Linked DNA regions of Nothobranchius furzeri. The protein of the gene in region 1 purifies or fractionates together with the protein of each later gene. This does not show direct contact. Links are inferred from orthologs where the notes say so. Each region holds a gene or a part of one and is shown on either strand. Other genes may lie near its edges. The genes, in order: lats1 and sav1.

Region 1 (4,476 bases):
TTTAAAGGGACATTCTGGACATTTTAAAGTTTTGTTTCTGTGTAAAAGTTATAAATGCTCTCAACTGAGAAATGTTTACTTCCTTCAGGATTGATAAGCTAACGGCTAGTCTTGAGTGCAGCCTGGACCCAAAACGTTTCATATTTATAATCAAAGTGCAACATTTTGCTTCTGCTGTTTAAATCTTTGAATAACAGTTTAGATTAATTTAGGAAATTAGAATTGTTTCACGGCGGTATTACACTTTAAGCTTGGTTCTGTGGAGTAGCTGTGAACTTATGTCTGAACAGAGGCTGTTCATGAAGCTTTTACACAGAAACATGTTTATAATCGGCCATATCATCCCTTTCAGTAGATCTGTCTAGCAGGTAGATGGAGAAAAATCATGGTTTCCAGTGAGAAATCAGGAATATTAGATGTTTATTTACTAGCGGTTTTCCTGATTAGAGTCTGAAAATCCATAATCTGTGGTTCCACCTTCTCAAATGTGACACTTTGATATTTCCTTATACATGTTAACCCCCCCCCCCCCCCCCAAAAAAAAAACCAGATTTGGTGCGTTTCAGGTTTCTCTCGTCATTTCTTATAATCATCTTTCACAAGTCAGCAGATTTCAGTCTTCATGCTCTGCAGAGATAACTGACTCCAGGTCAGTTTCATAGTTGGAGATCAGGTGTTTCATTTTTAACTGTGATCTCGTGCTGCAGCGTTCTGAGTGCTCCTATAACCACACACTCCTATGTTTTAAATGCTTTATCATTGCAAACCCCTCCTCTCTCTCTCACTCTCACTCTCACGCACGCACACACACACACACACACACACACACACACACACACACACACACACACACACACACACACACACACACACACACACACACACACACACACACACACTTTCTATGTACAAGCAGCTTAGTGGGTTTCAGGATCTACACGTAGACCAGATCCCGGCCTTGTTTCCCGGCCTCGAGCTCCGCGCTCTCCATGTCCGCCTCGTCCTCGTCATAGCCCTCGTACTCGATGGGTTTGGGGCAGCTGTAAGGGTGGCCGTTGTCGTCAAAGAAGCGCCGGAAGGTAAACTCGTAGAAGGCGTGCTCGGGGTGCTTTCCTTTGCGGAACCAACAGCTCAGCGTGTCGTTGTGGTTGCCCTCGCCATTGCTGCTCCGCAGCTTTTCAGGGTCCACTGGGTCAAAGTTGGAGGTGTCTGTGGAATGAGCGATGGTGGGGACGTAGGGTGCCACCTGCTGTCTCAGGTCGCTGGAGAAGTCGATTCTTTTGAAGAATGGATGAGCTTTGATTTCATCTGCGCCGTTCTTACCAAGGCGATCCTCTGGGTCGCGGCAGAGTTTAACGATGAGATCCGACGCCTCTGGGGTGAGCTTGGCTTGAGGGGGGATGTGCAGCGTGCTCTTCCAGTTTATCACCTGGTTTCAACGAAAGAGACGCGGCTTTAAGGAACTCCGTGGCTGCAGAACATTTCACAGCAGGTGCCTCTCATACCTTCAGCTGCGTCTCCAGGGGTGTGCTCGCCAAGAAGGGAGGTTGTCCAACAACCATCTCGTACAGGATGACCCCAACGCTCCACCAATCACAGAGCTGAGTGTATCCTACAGTTATACAGGAAATGACATCACTAAAAGACGTTTGGAATTGATTTTCTTTTTCATCAAGATGTCAATATTTAGTTTCTCAGCTTTTATTTTGAAAAACAGAATAAAGCTGTTATTTACCATGATGTGGATTATTAGAGCAAAGATTTGAAGCAAAAATAACATAACTGAACATTTTTAAAGGAAAACTTTACCTGTTCGGAGCAGAACTTCTGGTGCGATGTAGTTGGGCGTTCCCACCAGTGAGTGGGCCAAACAGCGCTGGTGCTGCCGGGCCTTCCTCCTCTCCAGAGGCTTCAGACGCTCTGAACAGCGGCAGTTAGCTTGATCCTCCCACTCCTTACTGAAGTCCATGCTGTCCTGTCTCTCATGATCTCCTGCAGAGATAAACAGACACATAATTTAAGACTTAGACATCTTTATTTGATAATTCCTTGTTGCTAAATGATGCAATACTGATTTAAAATGTGCTTTTGTTGATGTAATTTGGATTTATATTATTGCGCTGTACATTGATAAACAGAAATGTTGAATTGCACGAATCCAAAACATGTCAACAGCCTCCCGGCTTCTACTTTTTAGGCTCAACCTGACCTGAGAGACACAAACGGCAAGATATCTGAAAACAAAAAGGAAGATTTTCTATTGTAAAATCTTTTTTCATCTGTTTGTATGTGAATTTGACAGGATAAATGTTAACATTACCATTGTTTTACAGTTTTCATTCTAAAAGCTTGACGTAGCGACAGAAAAACACCTAACAAGACACTGAGCTTTAGCACCCACCGCTCTGGTAATACTTGGAGTCGTGGGTCCAGCGGAAGCCTGTGCACAGACCAAAGTCGGTCAGCTTTATGTGTCCGTCTCTGTCTATCAGAATGTTGTCCGGCTTGATGTCTCTGTGGATGAAGCCCATCTTGTGGACACTCTCCACCGCACAAGTGAGCTCTGCGATGTAGAACTGGGCCAGCTCTTCTTTAAAGATGCCGAGCCGGATGAGGAGGCTCATCATGTCCCCCCCGGGGATATACTCCATGACAAAATACAAGTTCTCCTTGTCTTGGAAGGAGTAGTAGAGACGCACCACCCACTCGTTGTCGGCCTCGGCCAGGATGTCCCGCTCGGCTTTGACGTGGGCCACCTGGTTCCTCAGCAGCACGTCCTTTTTGCGAAGCGTCTTCATGGCGTACAGCGACCCCGTGTCCTCTTTTCTCGCCAAGCACACCTCGCCGAATGCTCCGATGCCGAGGGTTTTGATCCGCTTGAACATGGACTTATCCATTTTGGCGCGCATTTGACGGATGTAGTTGGACTCCTTCTGGTAGAGCATCATACGCATCTGCTTCTGGGCTTCGTACGACAAACCCACCTGAGGATGGGGACCATAAAAATAAATAAATGCAGCTTTCATGCAATCCATGTTAAAATGAGACGTTAGTAATGAATGGAAACGAGTGACACCACCACAAAACGAAGTGAAATCTATCTTTCCTGAAGTGTTAATGATCAATTTACCCCAAAACAAAAATGTGCGTGCAGTGCACGGAGGCGGCTGCGGGATGGCATGCCACTCTTCTCATGCTTTCACTCGATGCAGGAGAAAATACAGATATGAGACACTTGACACCTTACTTGTGTAACTGATGTGTGTTTGGGCTTTTCTGAGTCACAGCACAGGAAAAGATACTTTAACCTCCTAGGTCAGCTGCTTGTGACAGCAAGGAGAGAAAGGAAGAGAAAGAACAGCTAAGAAAAACTTAAAAGTGTGGAAAAGATCGGAGATTTACCAAGATAAGACGGGGAAACCAGGTCAAAAAGAGAAAAGGACAGTTTCTTTTCATAGATGGTCTCACCCTGTCCATTTCACACTCCAGCTGCTTCCTCCTCCGAATCCTCTGCTGATGGTTCTTCAGGATGTTCTCCATGTGTTGCTCCATAAAGAACTTGAAGGCTTGGGGGGAATACAGATTGACTCTCCCAGACTCCCCTCTGCGCTCCTCATCTTTCTTGTTGTTACGGCGAACAGGAACAGGTGATGTTGTGATTTGTTTCCTCTCCTTCTCCGCTGCCGTGGTGCTTTCAAGACTTTCTGACACCTTCTCCCTGGAGGCGTCTCCACTGCTGCCGCTGCTGCAGCTCCTCTCCTCCTCAGGACTCTCCTCTCTACCCGCAACAAGCTTATTGGCTGCAGCGTCGTACGCAGGGGGCGAGGGTGCAGCCGGCTGCTGTAGGAGGTGTTTAGGGTACGGTGGAGGAGGGCCTATATAGTTTGGTGCCTCTAGTGCTGTGGGGATCTGAGGGACCTGAGGTGAAGGTTCTGGGTAAGCAGGCGCAGCTGGAGATGCTGAAAGGTGCTGCTTCCATGGAGGATGTGTGGGAGCGACGGCAGTGTGTAGCTCTGGTTTCTGGACTTGCGTGCTCGACACCGGCTGCAGGATGGGAGCCTGAGTGATGGCCGTGACCGTAGTGGCAGAGGGCTGGGAGCTGGCTTGATGAGCAGGTCTGCCGTTGAGCTGGTGGTTGTTAAATGAGTTTGAGCGGACTGGCACGTTCTGCTGCCATGACGGGGACAGGTCCTGGTTGCTGTTGCTCCAGTTAGACACCAGCATGGGAGGAGGGATGTTTCCACCGTTGACGTACGAAGGAGAGGATGCCGGCTGCTCGGTGGGACTGTGTCGGCTGCTCTGGTTGACTGGGTATGGAGGAGGGGGTTGTCTACTGCTCCCTGGTATGTAGTCCTGTTGAGCGGAGCCATTCTGAGTCCGAGTGGAAGGAGAAGTGAATTTATTCCCTGAACTTTGCATTATGATAGGCTGGTGAACTACGGGCCCTGGGTTGGCCCCGCGTTGATTCTGAGGAGG
Region 2 (3,833 bases), on another chromosome or scaffold:
TCTGTCAGGAACTACTGAAGGCCTGGCTCTTTAGAGAGAATCTTCTAGACTAGCTCCTTCCTATTATCCCAAGGGAGGCCCGCAGGGCTTTAGATGTTGTTCTTGGTTAACTTCAATTTCTTGGGTTACGTTTTGAGATCCGTTAGCCTTCATGTTGTCACGACAGCATCTACTAAAGTTATTTCTTAATTATCCAGGTTTTTGTCTGACAACGCTTTTTGTTTACTGATCTGAAACATTTAAGTGACAAAAAAGAAAAAAAAAAGACGTGTGCAGGTTTAAATATAATTTACAGCTTTTTCCTTAACAACTTTCGTTTCGCAACCGAAATGATTTGATTCTGAAAAGTTGAAACTTTTTTGCACAGAAAGCTCAAAACTCAAGAGGATTTACTGGTTCAACACAAACTCGTTCAGCAACCAAACGTCCTCTGAAGATGTTTAAAGCTGCACAGATCCCAGTAAACTGCTTTACTTTAGCCTGATTTGGTTTTCTGAGCTGAAGCGGGCTGATCACTAAATGTGTTTATGAACATGTAAACTAAGAAAGACCCATAGAAAATGAAATGCACTAAATATTCTGAAGCATAGATGTGCTGCAGTAAGTGTGATGCTCATCTAACTTTAAGTATCATTTAGACTGGAGGATTGTTAAATAACGATAAGGAATATCACAAGAGAACAATGCAAATGTTTATTTTTATGTAAAAGAGTATGGTTTCAGTTTATGAGGGTTACAAAGCAAAAATATTGTATTTAAATAAGAAGCTGCCTGTCGATTCGTCCCGAAGGAGAAAAAGACGGAGTAGCTGGTGGTGTACGCGCGACACGAGCAGACTTTGTACGATTAATTTAAGGCACAATCTCGGGATGTTTTTCAACAAATATCCTGAGCAGGATTTCCAGACTTGGTGCTTCTCAGTCTTAATAACAGGAAATGAAAAGTTCATTTGTCAGTTTGGTGGGTTTAGATCCCACCCAAGCAGCGTCCACAGACGTAGCACGTTGTGTCTTCATCCTAGTGCTGTCTCGGTTGTCCATAACGTGAGCGTGGCACCGGGGGACAGCCCTCCCTTTAGTCAATGAGTCGTTCTGACTTCTTGGCTGATATATTTGGATCAAGCAAAGGCACAGATGTGTTTGGTAAGGAAGCAATTAGGAGTCAGTTTTGATTTTAAAAGAAGCTCTAACCGCTCCCAAACTGTGGAAACCTCAGTGAGGTGTGGCAGGGGGACGACCTGCTAAAGATGTAGCTTCACATGTTCCCTTGGAAGTTCTTGTTAGGCTGCTGGAGGTACCACTGCTTTCGCTGTGTGCGAGCCTCCACCTCAGACAGCAGCGCCTGTCGGTAGACCTCGTAGGACTTGACGATGTGCTCGAGCTCCTTCATGAAGAGCAGCTTCAGCATCCCTTGGTACGTGTCCAAGTCTGCCAGCTGGAACAGCTCCCACTTCAAGATGTGGTCGTACCTGGACAACAAAAAACAGGAACTGATGTACATCACAACACAAAACACCCCTAACCTGGTAATCAGGGGTTGCTGCAGCAGGCAGCAGCGAAGATGACCCTTGAGGTGTGGGACACACGGTACTCACTTGAGTGGCGCGCGTGCGTAAACTTGCAGCCAGTCGGGGATTTCGGCCGTGTGGTACGGGTTAGCGGGCACGAGCACCGGCTGGATTCTCTCTGCTGGGCGTGGCTGATAGGTCACAGGAAGTGGAGGTGGTGGGGGCTGATCATAGCGAGGCACGCTAAAATACAAAGATGTTGTATTTGTAGATCTTTGTTTCTCCAAAGATGTTCATAATTAAGCCAAACTTTCACTTTGGTTCTGTACCTGGGGGCACACGGATGCCGATACTGAGCCCTTTTGTTGATATGATCCACATAGTAAACCCCAAACTCAGCAGATTCCACCTTCTCCCAGCCTAGAGGGAGCCCTTCCCTCTCCAGAGGGTGGCTCCAGTGTGTGGTGTTGGTGTTGTGGTCGATGTAGTACTTCCTGCCACGAATGGTCCAGTCTACAGTCCAGCCGGCCGGAAGGGGGACATCCTCTCCCGTTAAAATGGAGAGATTCCCCAGAGACTTGGCCTGAATCCGACCTATGCCTGGGGAAAACAAACACTTCTTTTAAGGAACCCAGAGGGAGAATATCTGACCAAACATACGGAGGAGCAGCTGTGGACTAACAGCACCTCTGAGGAAAACAGGAATATTTTGAGACATTCTTGGAAACCAGCATGTGTGGGAAAGGAGAGGAATATGGACATAGGACCGGATAAGACAGGGATGCAGAGAAGCAGTCCTTAAAAGACGACTGATGTCATGCTGTGAATCTGGACAGGCTCGCCTAATCACTCCGACTGTTGAGATGGAGCGTCTCTCTGACTGACAAGTCCGATGAATGGAAGGAAATGGGAGTGCTGGAACGTTTGAACAGGAAGCCAGAGAGCTCTCCATTTCCAGGCGCTTCCAACTCTTTAGAGCAGCCGACAGCAAAGCATGCGCATTCAATGCGCCCCGTACTTTTACTGATGAATAACGTCAGACAGGAATGTTGAGCCGACAGCTGTGTGGACGAGCAAAGAGTATTGAGGCTTGAAACAAAACAAGCCTGCAGGGATTCAGGGAGGATTGAAAATGCGCAGGAATTTAAAGGAATCAAGTATCTCGGAAAATGGCAGCTGGAATCTGATCAATTCTGTCTGAGAGTGACAGAGGCAGAGCTGGAGCTGTTTCCCAGCTGCTGAATGAAGGGTGGAATGTGTTTGCTCCACACTCCTCCTCGTTCACTTCATCACCATCATCATCCACGTCTCACTGCAGATCTAAAAGTCCAGCTGGAAGTAACACCTGGTATTAAATGAGCCAGCCAGTCCTCCAGACAAGTATGTTATCATGTGATTTGGTGTTGCTCTACAGTAACCGCAGCACATTTTACCCGTGTGACACAGCACAAAGCTCAGAGACTGAACATGACACACTTCCTAATCACACACCTTTCAGATTCCTGCATGGGCATGCCTGATCCAGACAGGCTGCAACCATGACGACATCGCCCATTTACAGGATGATGGTCACACTAACACATGATGACGATGATGTACTATTATTACTCTGATAAACGCAGAGATTTCTGATAGCACAAACATCTATTAAAACAAAAATGTCCCACAGGACAGACTCCTCATGACACGACTGCGTAAAACAAAAAATAAATAAAAATGATTTTACATGTTTTGGCAAATTTGGATAGTTTATAGGTGTGGTTCGCTCATTTAATCAGTACATCTGCAGCTGTCTCTAGTAGGAATGAATGCATTGGAAGTTTTACTCTGGGGGGAAAAAAGCTCTGGTGCGCCTGATTGGCAAACGGCAACGAGACTCTACCGCTGACTCGGTTTGCTTTGTAACAATGCAAATGCTAGCGGTTAGCTTCTGCGAGCCAAGAAATTTGTCAAGCTTTTCAAATCCTAGAGTTTCACTATCTATTTTTTATCAGAAGCTAATGCACAGATAGGTGTAGGAGACTATCTTATGTTAAGCCTGCATGAAAAACTCAGAGTGACCCATTATAATCAGCAATGATCATTAAAGAATGGGTTTTCAGTGAACCAAACTTTTAATGAACAGCTTCTGCTTGAGAAAATAAAATGTTTGTCATTAAAACCAATGAGCTAACAGCTAGCCCGAGCTAGGTTTATGCGGCAGGGGGCGGTGGGAGCTGAGCCCAATTCTTCAGCTGGCAGAGCTGCAAAATCAGTTCATTTCCAATTTTCTTATTTGTCATGGCGCTGCTACAGCTGATATAATTAATGACTTCTGCCCATCTGT

The links.
Region 2: the proteins of lats1 (region 1) and sav1 purify together in Homo sapiens (affinity purification with western blotting; 3 studies listed by BioGRID). This does not show direct contact. The link is inferred for Nothobranchius furzeri from reciprocal best matches to the Homo sapiens genes LATS1 and SAV1.

The regions. Positions count from the first base shown.
Region 1 is NC_091742.1:11,406,489-11,410,964, forward strand, and holds the end of lats1 (serine/threonine-protein kinase LATS1), read right to left. Parts: coding exon 3,469-4,476; intron 2,985-3,468; coding exon 2,402-2,984; intron 1,993-2,401; coding exon 1,810-1,992; intron 1,613-1,809; coding exon 1,506-1,612; intron 1,430-1,505; coding exon 935-1,429; 3' UTR 785-934; downstream 1-784. UniProt on the Homo sapiens protein: Negative regulator of YAP1 in the Hippo signaling pathway that plays a pivotal role in organ size control and tumor suppression by restricting proliferation and promoting apoptosis.
Region 2 is NC_091758.1:19,774,549-19,778,381, forward strand, and holds the end of sav1 (protein salvador homolog 1), read right to left. Parts: intron 2,108-3,833; coding exon 1,837-2,107; intron 1,751-1,836; coding exon 1,595-1,750; intron 1,469-1,594; coding exon 1,255-1,468; 3' UTR 680-1,254; downstream 1-679. UniProt on the Homo sapiens protein: Regulator of STK3/MST2 and STK4/MST1 in the Hippo signaling pathway which plays a pivotal role in organ size control and tumor suppression by restricting proliferation and promoting apoptosis.